Arabidopsis thaliana: one gene and its partners. Each later gene encodes a partner of the first gene's protein in a complex. Each region holds a gene or a part of one and is shown in the gene's direction. Other genes may lie near its edges.

Region 1 (4,406 bases):
CACTGTATGTGTATGGAAACGTAGCAGATTCCCCGTTGACATTGCATGTTTAGGGAATCCAGTGACAAGGGTGTAATCACATTTTAGTATGTTACTATATGATAACATTTTATAATTTAAACGGCTCTCTATCTCTAATTATCAATGTTCAAAATCCTAAATAATGATTAGTTAAAATTAAGAGGTGTGGTCTGAAACATGCGCCCCACGTCCCATCTTCCAAAAAAAGGAAGCAAAAGAAGAAAGCTCCACAATTTTCTCAAAGCCAAAATCACTGTAACAATTACCCTTTATTGTTTTGCGGCTCGATTAGCTTCTCCTTCCCTTTTGATTCTCCCCATCTCAAGAGAGGCCCATTTGATCCTCTCTCTTTCTCTCTCTCTCCTCTCTAATTCTCTATTGCCATCAAGAGACCAGGAATGGTTCGTGCTTCGGAACAAGAACAGGAAACCTATAGGAGCAGGCTCTTCAATTTCAAATGGAGGAACAACGACAACAATAGTGCTACGAGACACAACAAGAGTCTCAGCGTCGAGACCGGTTTAGATGAGGCTGCCACCGGATCCCATGACGCTGAACCATTGACCATTATTCATCCTAGTCAGGGTCCACCACTTTCAAGATCGGCTGCGGATGAAGCAGTCCTCGCCGCCCTCGCCGCCTCACAGGCTAGAGAAAGGCAGCTTTTGGCAGACATGGAGCAGATGAAAGAGCGCTTCTCCAAGCTGTTGCTGGGAGAGGACAATTCCGGTGGAGGCAAAGGAGTATCCTCTGCTCTCGCCCTTTCAAACGCAATCACAAACCTTGCAGGTTGCTTTAGGACCCTCTTTTGTTATTACACTTAGTTTATATTAACCAGCAACCAATATCTCATGTTTATCTTGTTGGTATAGCTTCCGTGTTCGGAGAGCAACGGCGCTTGGAGCCAATGCCTGCAGAAAGAAGAGCAAGATGGAGAAAAGAGATTGATTGGCTTCTCTCCGTGACCGATTACGTGGTTGAGTTTGCTCCATCTCAGCAGAAAAATAAAGATGGGACCAATATGGAGGTTGTCTATCTGCTGCTGCTGCTGCATTATATTTCATTTGGTAACATACAATGATTCCCTTATTCTGTTGGTATTGATTTAACAGATAATGACCACACGCCAACGTACTGACCTCCACATGAATATCCCCGCATTGAAGAAACTGGACGCCATGCTCATCGTAAGACCTCTCTCTCTCTCTCTCTCGTTGACCAAATATCAACCCTACTTTAATAATTTCATTTAGGATATTCAAAAGCATCCTCTTATCCCCCTTTTCTACCTAGGATTGTCTAGAAAATTTCAAGGACCAAAGCGAGTTCAGCTATATCTCAAAAGACTCCCCTGACTTAGACGGTAAGAGAAACGACGAAAAATGGTGGATTCCGACCGTCAAAGTTCCACCAGATGGTCTATCAGAAGCTTCAAGAAGGTTTTTGCAGTACCAGAAAGATTGTGTAAACCAGGTTCTAAAGGCAGCCATGGCCATAAACGCACAGGTTTTGTTCGAGATGGAGATACCTGAGAGCTACATCGACTCTCTCCCAAAGGTAAAAAAAAAAAAAGACACCAACAATTGATGTTATTGATTAGAAGAGTTGATGAAGAATAATACTCACTTGTTTAGTTTGTAATAAATAAATAAACAGAACGGGAGGGCGAGTCTCGGGGATCAGATGTACAAGAATATAACGGTGGACTTCTTTGACCCGGACCAGTTCCTGAGCAGCATGGACATGTCGTCGGAGCACAAGATCGTGGACCTCAAAAACAGAATCGAGGCATCAATCATTATATGGAAACGCAAAATGGTTTATAAAGACAACAAATCATCGGCACCCTGGGCCTCCGGAGTAAGTCTGGAGAAGCGAGAGGTCTTCGAAGAGCGAGCTGAGACCATTTTGCTCATTCTCAAGCAAAGATACCCCGGGATTTCTCAATCTTCACTCGACATCAGCAAAATCCAGTTCAACGAGGACGTGGGCCAGGCGGTGCTGGAGAGCTACTCGAGAATACTGGAAAGCTTGGCCTACACGGTACTTTCCAGAATCGATGACGTTTTAGAGGCAGATCGAGCGGGGAACAAGAGGAACACGCCATTGGAAGCAGAGGAAGAGACGCTGGTTGGGAGCATGACGCTGTCGGATTTCATGGGATGGGACTTCGATCAGGCCGCGAACGCCGAATTGGAGTCGAAGAAGGATCTACCGGATGATCCGTTGATAAAGGAGAAGCTAAGCGTCGTCACGACCAAGAAGACCTCATACCTCGAAACCCTAGGCGGTGTCAAGAGTCCAACGGCACGGCATTGATATTTGTGTGGAAAATTAGGCGCAAAAAAGAGCGAAGACAGATTTATTGATTATTTAATTATTTTTAGGATTCAAAAACTTTACAAAAGGGCTTTTGTAAATTCCTTTTTATGAAAAGGTGGGCTTTTAAGATTAGGCCCAGTTTATTGTAAAACCCATTTACCATCTGTATACTGTATACATCCCTTCTAAATAGTAGTAGTACTCACCTTATCTTCATTTTCATCGATTCGATTCCAAATCGGAAGGATGATAACGTCGTCCCTAACCTCATCTCTGCAAGCTCTCAAGCTTTCGTCTCCGTTCGCCCATGGCTCCACTCCTCTCTCATCTCTCTCTAAGCCCAATTCCTTCCCGAACCACAGAATGCCCGCTTTAGTTCCGGTCATCAGAGCCATGAAAACGATGCAGGGGCGCGTGGTGTGCGCAACCAGTGACAAGACTGTGGCGGTGGAGGTGGTGAGGCTGGCTCCCCACCCCAAGTACAAGAGGCGCGTGAGGATGAAGAAGAAGTACCAAGCTCACGACCCCGATAATCAGTTCAAGGTTGGCGACGTGGTCAGACTGGAAAAGAGCAGACCCATCAGTAAGACTAAATCATTTGTGGCGCTTCCTGTCATCGCAAGGGCCGCCAGGAAAGCCGAAGCCGGAGGAGATGAACTCCTTGGCCTTCCCTTGGAGTCTCAGCAGCCGGCGTAGAGAATGATTGCTCTTTGTTTCTTTTGGTAAAGCCGTCTTTTTTTTGCTCTGCTTCTGTTTGTTTGTTGTGTATCCCGGAACCAGTGTAATTTATGGAATGCTTTTGTGATTTCATTGCTTATGCCATGAGTGTGTTTTCAATCTGATTGTTTCCGACTACCAATTGTTTGCTCTTACTTCATCTTCACCTCCAGTTACATTTAGAATGTGAATTAATATGTTTCTGTTGCTACTGTGTGCTTGTGGTCTCAGTGATCCGACTTTTGTTTCTGCTAATTCTACGGTTCTTGCTCCTCTTGTTATGGTTCATTTGCCAATGGAATGGACCAAAAAGGTGTTGGATAATAATAGGATTGGAGAAGAGAGAGCTGGTCGTTTTTGTACAAAACTTTAATGCACTGCTGCTATACATTATCATATAATTATATATAGGTAAATAATATCTGCTGTGACTTGTCATCAGCAATCTTCGATTTGTAGACTTCTCTTAATGTTGTGTAGTGTGACTGAGACGAGGTTTGTCACGGATTCCACAGACTCCATATTCAGCTTTGCTGCAGGAGAAGGGTTGATGAGGGTTTGGAGGGCGAGTGTCAGGAGCGACCCTCCTTGGCTGTTTCTGTCGTCTTGTGTAGACGTTATTACCAGTGGCCGTGACTCTACTCCATCAGGTATGATTGAGAATCCAGAGGGGAGGATTTGGATGTTGCTTGGATCATGTCCCGCGAGCACCAGCTGTGTCGTGTTTATATCTACGGGAGCGTATACCACCACCGACTCATACGAGTTAGTGCTGCTGTCTTGCAGCACCCATATGCTCTTTTCTCTCGATTTCACTGTCTGGAAATGTATAGAAATTCAGATTATCAAGGCCTAGACAGATTTAGAGGAGGAGAAGACAAAATAAACGCACCTGGATTGCCACTGAGTTGCCTCTGTCTTGTCCCTTGGATAAGTTTGCAATAGACTGAACATGAGCTCCGTTTGACAAAGCATCCCACTGATGATATGTATCGTTAGATAAATATATGAGTGGAAACCGCTTTTCTTGTTTGCTTAAATGTGTGTGAATTTGACAAGGTACCTCATGCCGACGAGCTTCATCTCTAAAGAAATCGAAGAGAAGAGCTGGAGAAACAGGTAACCACAGCGAAGAAGAAGCGCAGACAATGACTCCCGTGGGCTCGCCAGGATCATGAAGGTTCTTCCTGGAAGAAACCCGCATGTCTTGTCCAGTTTTGGTGGTGATTTTGGTCCATTGATGGTAGCTTGATGCAGCAATGGCGCGGTAGAAGCTTTGTGTCATTCTCTGAGCCATCTTCAGCACACTCTTTCTCCCGGCAAGAGTTGTAACTCCTGATTATCAA
Region 2 (3,365 bases), on another chromosome or scaffold:
TATATTATTCCAATTTGGAAAGTCTATGAGGTCACTGTAAGAAAAGCAATGTAATAAAGCATCAATACAGATTCATTCAGAATAATTAGATAAATCTGTTCCGAAAACAAAAAAAATTAAGAGCCTTGAGCCAATAAAAACTAAGAAAATTGACTCAAAAACAAATAAAAAAAATGAAATTCCCGATTTCATATAAGAGCTCCATTGTAGAATTCGGGCCTAATGATTAATCAAGAAGCGATGGGAACGACGGAACCCATGAATATAGAGGATTCTATTGAAAAATAAATCTTAGTAATTCATTGGACAGGATGGCGGAATAAACCAGATTATTATCTATTCTTATTTTTATTCAGAGATCTCCTGGGATAAACAACAAACTTAATATAGATATTGAAAGAGTAAATATTCGCCGGCGAATACTTTTTTTTTAATAAAAGTAATAAAAAACAAAAATTAAAAAGATAAAAGAAAATAAGGATTTGTTAGAATATTCTAACAAAAACGACATTCGAGATGATGATATTACGTTACGTTATTTTTAAATAAATAGAATTAATCTTGGATTCCATTTCGAAAAAGACATACACAAATTTAGAAGAGATCAGATGAAATTGAATATCATGATTAATAGAATTAATCATTAACTATATCTTAATACAAGCTTTTTTAGTCCTTTTATTCGCGAGGAGCTGGATGAGAAGAAACTCTCACGTTCAGTTCTGTAGTAGAGATGGAATTTCTAATTTAGAACCATCAACTATAACCCAAAAAGAACCAGATTTCGTAAACAACATCGAGGAAGACTAAAAGGAATATCTTCTCGTGGGAATCGTATTTGTTTTGGCAGATATGCTCTTCAAACACTTGAACCCGCTTGGATCACATCTAGACAAATAGAAGCAGGGCGACGCGCAATGACACGAAATGTACGACGTGGTGGAAAAATTTGGGTACGTATATTTCCAGACAAACCAGTTACAGTAAGACCTGCGGAAACGCGTATGGGTTCTGGGAAAGGATCCCCTGAGTATTGGGTAGCTGTGGTTAAACCAGGTAAAATCCTTTATGAAATGGGTGGTGTACCCGAAAATATAGCAAGAAAAGCTATTTCAATAGCGGCATCAAAAATGCCTATAAAAACCCAATTCATTATTTCTGAATAGGAATATATAATGAAAAAACTAAATAACATTTAAGGGTAAAAAGATTATAAGTTTTCTTTTTTTGACAAACAATATTTTTTTACTTCGTCCTTTGCATTAAAAGAAGAGATACAAAAAAAATGATATGATTCAACCACAAACCTATTTGAATGTAGCAGACAACAGCGGGGCTAGAGAATTGATGTGTATTCGAATAATAGGAGCTAGTAATCGCCGATATGCTCATATTGGTGACGTTATTGTTGCTGTAATCAAAGAAGCAATACCAAATACTCCTCTAGAAAGATCAGAAGTGATTAGAGCTGTAATTGTACGTACTTGTAAAGAACTCAAACGTAACAATGGGACGATAATACGATATGATGACAATGCCGCAGTTGTCATTGATCAAGAAGGAAATCCAAAAGGAACTCGAGTTTTTGGGGCGATCCCACGGGAATTGAGACAATTAAACTTTACTAAAATAGTTTCATTAGCTCCTGAGGTATTATAAGATCTAAATATCGATAGCGATAGTTAGTATCGGATTAAAAAAACAGGTATTGAAATAAAATTAATTAATAGATTCTGTATCACGCATATACCCTTAATAATAAAATATTAAGAATTTAATTCATATATTAATATATAATTCGTCTATATCTATATATAAATAAAAGAAAAAGAACATGTTGATTATATCAAAATTATAGAACAATAAGGAATTTTAACTTATCATGGGGAAAGACACCATTGCTGATATAATAACCTCTATACGAAATGCTGACATGAATAGAAAAGGAACGGTTCGGATAGGATCGACTAACATCACGGAAAGTATTGTTAAAATCCTTTTACGAGAGGGTTTTATCGAAAACGTAAGGAAACATCGCGAAAACAACCAATATTTTTTGATTTTAACCCTAAGACATAGACGAAATAAGAAAGAATCCTACAAAACGATTTTAAATTTAAAGAGAATAAGTCGACCGGGTCTACGAATCTATTCTAACTCTCAACGAATTCCACGAATTTTAGGCGGAATAGGAATTGTAATCCTTTCGACTTCTCAAGGTATAATGACAGACCGAGAAGCTCGACTAAAAAGAATCGGCGGAGAAATTTTGTGTTATATATGGTAATCCTTCTAATATAAAAATTAGATATCTGTAACTTACAATTTGTGAAAAAAGGGGGTTGTGTAATACCACCCCTGTTCAAAAAAGTTTCGGATGTTTTACTTCGAATGAAATTAAAGAAAAAATGAATTAATAAAAGTTTTCTTTCTTAATCACTTCCGAACGGCATGGTTCGATTTTGTTTAGATACTAAAGATTTTTTTTCGTTCATGCTTCTGAAAGGATTCGACATATTTTTGTATAGGTATACCTATAGGATAAAAAGGTAAAATTTTGAGTAAGTTCTTAAGTATAAGTTAATAAGGGGACAGCCATTTTCTAGACTCCATAATAAGTATTCAAATGAGTAAGTGTTTTTTCAATTTCAACCATTCCTTTCACGAAGATACAATTCAAGATTCAAAAATATCAAGAAACCTTTTTTTCGTCCACCAATAAATATATTCACAGAATTAAGGAATAACAACTATGAAAATAAGGGCTTCCGTTCGTAAAATTTGTGAAAAGTGTCGACTAATCCGCAGGAGGGGACGAATTATAGTAATTTGTTCCAACCCGAGGCATAAACAAAGACAAGGATAATCTTACTAAAGGAACTAAAGTAAAAGAAAAGGCACTTCCAAAGAGTTGGAAAAAAGGGTCTATTTTGACCTGAAATGGATATATCCATATATTTCTTGTGAAATGAAAAAAAATGGCAAAACCTATATTAAGAATTGGTTCGCGTAAAAATACACGTAGTGGTTCACGTAAAAATGTACGTAGAATACCAAAGGGAGTTATTCATGTTCAAGCAAGTTTCAACAATACCATTGTAACCGTTACAGATGTACGGGGTCGGGTGATTTCTTGGTCCTCCGCAGGTACTTGTGGATTCCGGGGTACAAGAAGAGGAACACCCTTTGCTGCCCAAACCGCAGCAGGAAATGCTATTCGAGCAGTAGTGGATCAAGGTATGCAACGAGCTGAAGTAAGGATAAAAGGCCCTGGACTCGGAAGAGATGCGGCATTACGAGCTATTCGTAGAAGCGGTATACTTTTAAGTTTCGTACGAGATGTAACCCCTATGCCACATAATGGT
Region 3 (5,088 bases), 6.1 Mb from region 1:
TTTTCATCCACAACTAAACCAAACCCAAATTCAAATAACCAAACTGAACTAAAACATTCCACCGCAAACCAAACCGAAATTGAGTATCCCGGACCACGGTAACTCTGAATTCCAAACTATACCTAGTTTTGAACACCCCTAGAATTATGGACATCATGTTCAAGCAAAGCATCAAAGTGAGGAGGACAGAGTCTCCAATTGAAAACGAGTGAACACTAAACAATAGAATATAACGTAAAAGGATATGGAAAAACAGATTGATATCACAACAAAGTCTCATTGACCCGGAGAAAATACTGAGTCGCTCAATATCGGTCATTACATGATAACAAAGTTTTCTGACCCAGAGATTTCCAGGAACATAACAGAAGAGAAGAGACAAGCAGTGAGAAAAGTCGAATCTTACACGATACGCTCCAGCTCTCTGGCGTAGCTTAGAGTCTGGTTGATGAGTTGCAGAGACGGAATCTCTTTGCACGGTGCAGTTTCTTTGGCTTTCTGGAAGACAACAAACCCTTCCTTCACTTCCCACTCAGGATGCTCCTATAAGATTTGATAAAACCTAAATCGCGTCAATGGTTCATGAAACTAAAAAAGATTCTAAACTTTGCACAAAATGTTTTTTCTCTTACATCTGTGACATAGGTTAAGAGTTCTTGATCAGAAGAGAACAACAACATCTGCCGGGCATCGCTGATAGAGACATAATCATAAGCTTTCTCGCTGCATCCAGCTATTTCATCTCTGTGAATTCAGTCATAACAATAAAAAGGTGAGATAACACGCGAGAAGACATAAGACTGAACTAATTCAGAGAAGGACAGACTCATTGATGCTACCTTATGGTCTTTGCCAAGAGATCCATGAAATAGACGTAAGTTGCATCAGGCGCGGTCTGTCTAGCACTCAACACACGGTTATAGGCACCCTCCATGAAGGATTGCTCAAGCTCTACTGCATGCTTGATGCAAGGATCCTCTAGTGTAGCTGATGAAAGTAATTCAAGCTCGGTGTGGAATTCAGCAATTCTATTTTGTACCAGCAGCCTCAGAAGGTTAAGACCCAGGATAAGATTCTCCTGTGGAGACTGAGGAATACGGTTCCTGGTGCAGAGGAAAAGAAGATATGTTAGACCAAAAGAAAATGAAAAAGATAATGTTCAGACAGTTGGTTCTTTCTTTACCTGGCATCCACATAGTAAGGTTTCAGCTGGAAGAAATCTCTCTCAAAAGCATCTTGATCCTCGGTTTTGACGCTTAGAACAACAGCATGCTCATAAATGTCCCCTAGAATACACCAATTGTCAAAGTTTTAGAAACGGATAATCAATAAGAACAAAAATTACCAATAACTCAATCCAAACCAATGCAGCATTCAACGATTAATGTATACATATAGGGATAGACAGACAAACTAAAGCAGTACAATCCCTCAGACACTCTTCAGTGGTATTTAAGTATAGTTAACAAATAACTCATGAGAATAGACAAATCCAAAACACTCCATGCAATTGAAAGCAAAACTCTAAACTTACTAGCAAATAGCTCATGTAAAACCAATAATGAAAAAGAGAAACTTACTTGCAATAGTCAATTCCTTGGCTGCATTAGGTGAATTCTCGAACAATGGAGGAAGACTTGTGAATTTGGTAAGAAGAACCTGAAGAACACAACAAAACCCCAGCGACATCAGAGACTCGCACCAGTAAATTGTAAATCTAAACCAATCCCAACAATCCCTTAAAGTAGAAAGTTAAAAATTTCATAGCACTTAGCTCTTCTAAAAGATCCTTAACACACTTATATGCTAAAAATTCTCACTTCAATAAATCAAAGCTCTCATAGATTTAAACTCTCGCGACATAACCCATCAATTTTCCCAAAGTTGGTTCAATAAGCAGATATGCAAAGAAGTGAATTGAAACAAATTAGGGTTCAAAGAAGAGAGAGAGATGTAGACCTTAAGCTGAGACAACAGATCGCTACAGGTATTGTAATCCTTCCTCGCAAACGCCGCCTTGAATCTCTCGAACTGCTGTGAAACTTCAGTTAGCTGCGGATCCATCGCTTCTATGGTTTTTTCTCTTCACCGGCGACGATTCTTTTCTTATAGATTTGATTGCTCCGAGAACTGGCTTGATCGCGAAGACAAATAATACAGATAGAAATAATTGTCTTTACAAAACGGGCCTTTAACAGGCCCAATAACCTAAAAAGGCCCATGGTGTACAATAGAATTCTGACTAATGTGTACCATCATCATCTCTTATCCAAATTTTACTCTCTCATCTCCTCTTTGCTTTCACAATCTCACAACAATGGCGTCTTCGCTGTGTGTATCAAATTCCACAATTTGCCCTCTGCCTAATGTATCTTCGCAGCCGCTGCTATCATTCTCCCACTCTCTCAGGCCATTCATTTCCAAGTCGAAACCTATGTGTGCCTCGATACAGAAGAGAGATGGCTCTCAATTTGTGGTGAAATCTCAGGCTCTTGACTTCTCTGGAACTTTCTTTGAAGGTGGATTCGGGTCGGATGATGACCCGACTTCTCCTTCCGGGTCGGGAGTCTCAACTGCCCTTGAAGACAAACCGGAACCTCAGTGCCCACCTGGGCTCAGGCAGTACGAAACAATGGCGGTTTTGAGACCAGACATGTCTGAAGATGAACGGCTTGGTCTTACCCAGAAATACGAAGAGGTAAGTAAAAGTCTCCAACTTTACCTGTTTTCTGTTTCATGTCAGAGGGAAATTTGATTATTTGAGAGAGAAAGAGATTTTAGGATTCAATTAGAAGTTGAGTAAGAGATCACTAAAAGTTGTATCTTGTGTCTGTTCTTACACGTTAATGACAAAGCAAGAGAAAATGGTTTCAATGTAGAGTTGTGTAACTTGCAGCTATCAATTGAATGTTTGTGACGACTCCTTGTTAAAATTGAAGTAAAGAGTTTAACTTTCTAAGAGCAAATCTCATCCTTCTGTGGGCTGTGAATTCTTTAAGTCTCAACCATTTGAAACAAGATAGGAGCCCTTAGTGCACTTCTTAGTTTTTTAGTCATGTTTTACCATAACATTTTAACTCAATTCTTGAAATGTCCTTTGATGCTCGAAACGAGCTAATACACAGTTATCATTTGTGGTTTACGCGTGGGTTCTTTTACGCTATATCACATGTTTAATCTAATGAGGAATTCTGAAATTTATGTTCGGAGTAGTGGAAGTTTTTAGTTGGTGCAGACTCTGAAAGATTCATTATGTTGCTGGGATTTCTTTTTGGTGTGTGTGGCAGTTGCTTGTGGCAGGAGGTGGAATGTATGTGGAAGTGTTTAACAGAGGAGTGATTCCGTTGGCTTACAGCATAAGAAAGAAGAACAAAGCTGGAGAAACCAACACTTACTTGGATGGAATCTACCTTCTCTTCACTTACTTCACCAAACCCGAATCAATAGTTCCACTCGAGACCGTTCTCACTGCCGACGATGACATTATCCGATCATCTTCCTTCAAGATAAAGAAGAGGAAGTACAACTGAAGACCATGAACATTGTGTATGTGAGAAAAATGTCAGATTCTTTTTTTGTTTCTTTGTAAGAACAAAAGTAAATCTATCTTTTTTGTATCTTTTTTTGTGCATTGCTCTGCTTTCTTATGTAACTGTGAGAAACTCTTAAAGCTAAGTTTGAGAAGCATACTTGTATGCATTTTCATTAAAAGATTTTAACTAACACTAACTTGCCATAGTTACTATAATGATGGAATTCATATTACTCTGTTTCATAGCACAAAATCCTCAACGGATGCATAACAATCAAACAAAATAGCAACAAAGAACAAATTTGTAAAGTATTCAGGCAGAAGTGACTTTGTTTGCCAGCTTTTACCTTCTGACGATCCAAACTTAAATTAGTGAGATTGTTGAACTCCTTTACGTAATTGATCAAAACCATCAACATATACGAGTGAGAGACCTTGCAAGCTTAGCATTATAATGGTTCACGTTCATGCTTTAACATTTTATGAAAATCCTAGCATAGTTTCAAATCATTTTCAATTCCACAAAATCAAACGTGTCACATACATATAACAAAACAAACGGGACAAAGTATATTTGACACACCTCTATTTGCTTGTGTAAACTAATAATGTTCTTAATTAACAAAACACACGGGACAACGAATCAATCCATTCTCATTACACTTGACACACCTCTCCCACCTTTCACCTTTGGCCGCCCCAACCGCCGCCACCTTACAGCTTCCGCCGCACTCGAAACAAGGCAACCACCTCGCTCCTCCGCACCCTTCACACGTGAGCCTCCCTTCCTCCCCTACTCTCTCCACACGTGCCCACCGCAACACCCTCCCTAACTTCCCGTTCTCATTCATCGCTGTCACTTCCGCTGCTCCTCCCAAGTACCTCCCTTTCACAAACACTCGCGGCGGCGCCACTGATGCTTCGTCTTGGAGAAGCTCCTTAAGCTCGCTCAAGACTCCGGCGTCTAAAGACACGTCCCTCTCGTCCACCACAACTCCTTGCTGCTCCATGATGGCCCTCACACGCATACAATCCTCGTACGTGCGACGCACTCCTTGCAACGACGTCGTGTAGACAATCAAACCTTCCCCTCCTCCCGGCGGACACTTCTCCGGGAACTCCCTAAGTGGGTCCCAGTTCATCACCGGCTTCTTGTTCCCTTCTTTCTCCCTCCGTTCTCTGTCTCTCTTGACGAATATGTTCTCCTTCACTGACCGAGGCCCCGAGTAGGACGACTGAGTGGACTCGGTTCGATCATCTGACTCGGGTCTTAGCTTGGACATCGACTCGGTTCTCTTAAGCTTAACCATTGTCGTCGGGATTTGCGCGGCGATGCTTCTTTTGGCCCTCACTTCAAGCTCGTCCAGTGTGTGGAACGATGCGCTCTTCCGCGGAAGCCGCCGTGGAGGAGTCGCCGGAGGTTTAACAGAGTCTACTTCCGGCGGTTTAACGGCGGCAGGTTTAAGTTTAGTTTCTAGAGATTTGCTGACTTCTTCCCATGTTTTAGGAGCGTCATCACCATCATCATCATCATCATCATCATCCTCGTCGAGACG
Region 4 (5,131 bases), on another chromosome or scaffold:
TACGGAGTGGGGTTTCGCGTTAATGCATGGAGGAATATTCGCCATGTACTTGAAGGTATGTGCATATATCCAAATAGGGATCAAATATTAGAAATCTATCTAATTATAGATCAATTCTGAAAGACATTAGGCTATATGTCCTAGTCTATTATAATGTTTAATTACCAACCTAAATTTAGAAATCTGTTAGGAAAACAAATTATATAACCAAATTGCATTAGTTTTTCCTTAATTGAATATTTAACCCTTCATGCCACACTCTTAATTAACACCCAAAGAAAAAAAAACCCGCCATGACTCATATATAATGTAATGTGATAAACAGATAATGTAAACATTACAATTTCCATTAAAGTACTATAGAAACCTAGGTAACCGATCGATTATTACTTATTAGACGTTAAAAGAAATTAGATATTTGATTTATAGTCGACGTGTATGTATATATATATACATACATCTTTCTTTTCCGTATAGCTTACATTATAGGTAGTCAACAAACTTACTATACTTCAATATATTTAACTTTTGTGTGGTACATCAAGAAAATAAAATTGCAGCTAACCAAATATTCGTTTTTGTTTTGGTGCACTGAACTGAACTAAAATTTAGAAAAATGTAATATAGAAGAGTATTGTTGTATATGAGAGGGACCTCGACAAAATCACAAAAACAATAAATAATACGTGAGAGACCGTTGGGAAAAAGAGTATATACGGAGCCTACGATGTGTAAGAAAAATTATTAATGCAAGGGACCAGAATCATATTTAGGCCCACTAAAAAGCACTGTCTCTTTAGGTCCAACTTAATCTTCATATAGTCACTAATTGGGCCTAAAAATTGTAACTGTAGTTATGGATAGCGTTACGTAGAATATTCGTTTAGCATATCAGTTTCTCCTTTCCATTCGTTAACTAATTTTTTCTTTGCAAACATACTGTATCTACCGTTTTATCAAATAATTTTCTTTTTATTATTTGTTTGTTTACTAGAATTACAGTTTTTTCAAACAGATAAATAATCATATTAATAATAACATTTGCTAAATTTAGTTAAAAGAATCATGGTGTTACTTTTTAAGTTTTACTGGTTTGCTTTCAAGTTTCAAGAATGATTGTATAGTACTTTCGGATGTTTGATCTTTAAAACTTGTTGGTACAGTTGGAATGCTTTATTGGAAATATCAAACTATCACCAACGCTAACATTTCTATTCTTTTTGAACTTCATCAAGAGCCAAAGCCCCTGATCGGCCTCACAAAAGACACCATTTTCTTTGGTCTCCGGCAACAGAACATGGATTGGAATCAATCCCTAATCAAACCGGGTCAATTTGGCTTAGTCAAGAAACGTCCCTCTTATGTAACAGCTGTTCCAGAACGGCAGAACATTCACGAACATATAAATGGGTGTCCACTAACAAATTCAAACACATAACCATGATCACTCTGTCCTTTTTTCCATTTTTTTAAATATTCAAGTAAACAACATGTAAATTATAACGAATTTAGGTCGTCTCAACATCATGACTCATTCACATGCGTTGACTTTTAACCCACTAAACATTTTTTATAGGACCCCTCTCTCTCTCTATAAATTCGACCCCCTTTGTTGATAGATCATACAGAGAACAACAAAGAAAGAAACCAAATAAGAAGAAAAAGGAGAAGAACATTCAAATGGCACCAAGAAGTTCTTTGATCCGCTTCGCCTTCATCTGCATTGTCTTGGCCGTGATGGTCATGACTGCTGAGTCGCACAACGGAACCCACCACCATGGTCCGGCTATGGCTCCAATGCCACCCATGGCTAAGGCTCCGTCTCCAAGTGCCGCCACTTTCTCCGCCTACCCTCAGCTCATCGCCACCGCATTGGTCGCTGCTATGTCTTTCGTCTTCTGATGAGATGTGTTGCCATTCATCTTCAGAATATGTTTTACTCTCTATGAGATTTTATTTTAATTTTCACATGTATTCCTTCTTTTTTTGTTAATTCTTCAAAGATTGTGATGTTGTGTTCCTATCATAATAAAACATTTATCTCTTGATGTTTTTTTTATTATCTTAATCATATTTTCCTCTTTTTCGAACCAAATCTTCTAATCAAGGCATTATAATGGCCCGTTTGAGAAAAGGTGGACTTTCTTTTTAAAATCAACTAATTCATCTTAAGGTTATAGAATAGATAAATATCCGAAGTAAATATATAAAATAAATTGGGTCAGCCTAAACAAAATAATGAAATGCAGGCCTTACGTGACAGTAATGGGTACGCCTCAACAAATAATGGTGTATTCACTATTCAGACGTTGGTGTCAAAATCAATGAGTGATATCCTTATTAGAAGAACGACAAGCTTTAAACTAGTTTCATGTGTAAAGTACGAAACAATAAACATCATGAAAACACTCGAAATATTGTAGTAAACTTGCCAACAAAACCATGAGTACAAGTGTACAACTCCAATGAATCAGATATATATGCAAGATGGAAAAAATCCCCAAACACCTTAAAATACAACAACATGTGACAATAACGAAGTGAACGACCATCTCGATAAATAGTTAACAAGACTCATTCTCATCCGTTGACTTTTCATCTATACACTTACCATTTTTTTTATACAATCTTTTTCTATCATGACTCTATCCTCAATAGCTACGTGCCCACATGGAGCCAAGGCTCATGCCTTTCGTCTTCTGATCAAATGTGTGTCATTGATCACACCATTCATCTTAGTTGTTAAGAAAATATCTGTAAATCATTTTTTTTTTCATTTTATAGTTGTATCACTTTATTATAGTCCACTCGGTTTTTGCATTTTTGTTATAGTCCACTAGTTGGGCCGTGTTATACAATAGCGAGCCTATCTCAACAAAAAACAAAGCCCAACAAGTATTTATTTTGCCAGTTTTGTAAGCAATTAATTGAATAGAGTAAGTAGAGACGGAGCAAAAACAAGAGAAGCGTTTGGATTCGACGTTTGCCTTATCCGTTCAGCTCATCTTCTTCTTCTTCTTCGTCACCTCTGAATTAGTTTCCCAGAATCCGAAATTCCTAGGAAGAGAACATAACAATGGCGCAGATGGTTGCGATGCCCGTAGCGCACTCGCTCTCACTCATTTGCAATTGGGCAAAATCCAATCCTCTCTCTCGCAACACTCTTGCCCTCCCAGCTTCAAACACTCCCAATGTAATCATTTCTCTTGGACTCTCTCTTGCGTATGATGTTGTAATTTATCGAGCTTGACTTCATGTTTTTTTATGTGTTACTTCATTCTTGTTCGTCAATTTTTGGGTTAGGGGTGGTTATAGAACACTCCATCAATTTTTGGGGGAATTTGTCTCTGTGTTTTTAAAGTTTTTTTTTTTTTTTGTAATGAAATGCAGAAGCAGAGTCTAAGCATCAGATGTGCTCGTGTTGGTGGAGTGGAGATTCCGGCTAATAAGAGAATTGAGTACTCTCTTCAGTACATTCATGGGATTGGTCGAACTAGGGCTCGTCAGATTCTTGTTGATCTTCAGATGGAGAACAAGATTACTAAAGACATGGCTGAGGAAGAACTCATCATTCTTCGTGATGAAGTCTCCAAGTACATGATTGAGGGTGATCTGGTAATACACTTTCCCTTACATTTACACACTTTAGGACATGAGTAATGTGCATCATAGTTTCAGTTTCTGTCAGTCCATTCTCGAGCAGTTTCTTGAAGATTGGAGAAGAACTTAGGCTGCTATCTATTTGGTGTTTTCATTGCTTTAGTTTGGGTTTCCTCTTGTTTTGATTTGGTTCTTAGGCCTTTGTGAATGAATTATTGATTTGTGTTGTGGATGTTGTGCAGAGGAGGTTCAATGCTCTTGCAATCAAGAGGTTGAAGGAGATCCAGTGTTACCGTGGGGTAAGGCACATCCAAGGGCTGCCATGTCGGGGACAGAGAACCAAGAACAACTGCAGGACTCTTAAAGGCAAGAAAATTGCTATTGCAGGGAAGAAGAAAGTTTCCAAGTAATCATCTTCATGATCTCCTTCTTCTTCTGTAATACTCTTTTTAGTTTGTCTAGTCATCTCTGTTTAAATGTGATTTGTAATTCCCAAACCTTTGTTCGAACTGAGCCCTTTCCAGTTTATCTTCGGCTTTTTAGCTATTATTATTCCGTATCTTCATCATTCATTATAAAGTTACAAAAGAAGTTGAAGATTTCAGCATTCAAGAATGATGACAAACCAAGAACAAACTTGAAAATTTGGTCGAACCAAAAATGGTTTATTCAGAATACGTACATATGAATACATAAGTAACCAAAAAATAAAATTTTATAGCTTTTGCCAAAAGACTCGATCTTGGATTGTCTCTAATCCTACCCAGAAAATCTTGCTATCACACAAAAAAAAGGAAGAAAATGAATAATAACAGGGTAAAAATTTTCAGTAAGAGAACTCATGGCCGCGGAGTGAAATGTATTTCTTGACCCAAATGGCAATATCTTCGGCGCAGGCCTGTGCCTGAGGAGTCTTGAGAAGCATATCAAGTGTAGCAAACTCATGAACTGCGTCTTTGTATTCTAAAACTGGAGAATCTACGTTTACCTTTCTAAGCTCTTCTGAATAAGCAATGGCTCGGTCTCTCATCCAGTCATGCTCAGCTACTACTGTAAGTGTTGGAGGCATTAGCTTCAGAGGTGGTCCACTGCGGTTATGGGCAAGTGGGTTTGCTGCCGGGTGGTCAAAGTCGAACTCTTTCTCTGGTAAGAAGAGTTTCCAGGCTAGAACAGAGACAGGCTTATCGTAGAAGTAAGAGTTTGCCAGCTTTATTTCGGACTGTGTTGGGTTGTTTCCAATGAAAAAGGGGTACATTAGAACCTGTGCAACAACTTTCACCGGTTCTAGAAGTTTCCCAGCTTCCACTGCTTTCCGAGCTACATAGTCTGCTATGTTCCCACCACAGCTCACCCCGAGAAGAACACATCTGTTTTAACATCATATGAAGCAACAGGTTGAGACACAGAAGTTGATGTGAGATTGCAATCAATGGAAGATAAGCTATCTTAGTTCATCTAACTAGTTGTCCAAAGAATCCTGACTTTGTACCAAGTTACTCCTAGATCAACATGAAACTATTCTTAAGATCTT

Evidence for each region.
Region 2: RPS17 (region 1) and rps8 share a complex: the UniProt entries of both Arabidopsis thaliana proteins name them as parts of the 30S ribosomal subunit.
Region 3: RPS17 (region 1) and AT1G64510 share a complex: the UniProt entries of both Arabidopsis thaliana proteins name them as parts of the 30S ribosomal subunit.
Region 4: RPS17 (region 1) and EMB3137 share a complex: the UniProt entries of both Arabidopsis thaliana proteins name them as parts of the 30S ribosomal subunit.

Annotation. Positions count from the first base shown.
Region 1 is NC_003070.9:30,040,106-30,044,511, reverse strand, and holds RPS17 (ribosomal protein S17), read left to right. Parts: upstream 1-2,559; 5' UTR 2,560-2,589; coding exon 2,590-3,039; 3' UTR 3,040-3,269; downstream 3,270-4,406. Other genes in the region: ROPGEF12 (RHO guanyl-nucleotide exchange factor 12), read left to right, coding at 420-810, 894-1,048, 1,134-1,208, 1,315-1,578, 1,678-2,340; GL2 (HD-ZIP IV family of homeobox-leucine zipper protein with lipid-binding START domain-containing protein), read right to left, coding at 3,499-3,879, 3,953-4,039, 4,124-4,395. UniProt on the Arabidopsis thaliana protein: One of the primary rRNA binding proteins, it binds specifically to the 5'-end of 16S ribosomal RNA. Required for optimal plastid performance in terms of photosynthesis and growth. Required for the translation of plastid mRNAs.
Region 2 is NC_000932.1:78,990-82,354, reverse strand, and holds rps8 (ribosomal protein S8), read left to right. Parts: upstream 1-1,882; coding exon 1,883-2,287; downstream 2,288-3,365. Other genes in the region: rpl14 (ribosomal protein L14), read left to right, coding at 1,291-1,659; rpl36 (ribosomal protein L36), read left to right, coding at 2,753-2,866; rps11 (ribosomal protein S11), read left to right, coding at 2,979-3,365. UniProt on the Arabidopsis thaliana protein: One of the primary rRNA binding proteins, it binds directly to 16S rRNA central domain where it helps coordinate assembly of the platform of the 30S subunit.
Region 3 is NC_003070.9:23,953,435-23,958,522, reverse strand, and holds AT1G64510 (Translation elongation factor EF1B/ribosomal protein S6 family protein), read left to right. Parts: upstream 1-2,218; 5' UTR 2,219-2,245; coding exon 2,246-2,698; intron 2,699-3,287; coding exon 3,288-3,530; 3' UTR 3,531-3,720; downstream 3,721-5,088. Other genes in the region: RPN12a (regulatory particle non-ATPase 12A), read right to left, coding at 403-543, 633-744, 840-1,103, 1,184-1,286, 1,581-1,659, 1,960-2,064; AT1G64500 (Glutaredoxin family protein), read right to left, coding at 4,147-5,088. UniProt on the Arabidopsis thaliana protein: Binds together with bS18 to 16S ribosomal RNA.
Region 4 is NC_003076.8:4,616,718-4,621,848, reverse strand, and holds EMB3137 (Ribosomal protein S13/S18 family), read left to right. Parts: upstream 1-2,867; 5' UTR 2,868-3,076; coding exon 3,077-3,193; intron 3,194-3,390; coding exon 3,391-3,615; coding exon of another isoform or gene 3,616-3,660; exon of another isoform or gene 3,661-3,842; coding exon 3,843-4,010; 3' UTR 4,011-4,426; downstream 4,427-5,131. Other genes in the region: AT5G14330 (uncharacterized protein), read left to right, coding at 1,298-1,410, 1,629-1,902; CXE16 (carboxyesterase 16), read right to left, coding at 4,427-4,967. UniProt on the Arabidopsis thaliana protein: Located at the top of the head of the 30S subunit, it contacts several helices of the 16S rRNA.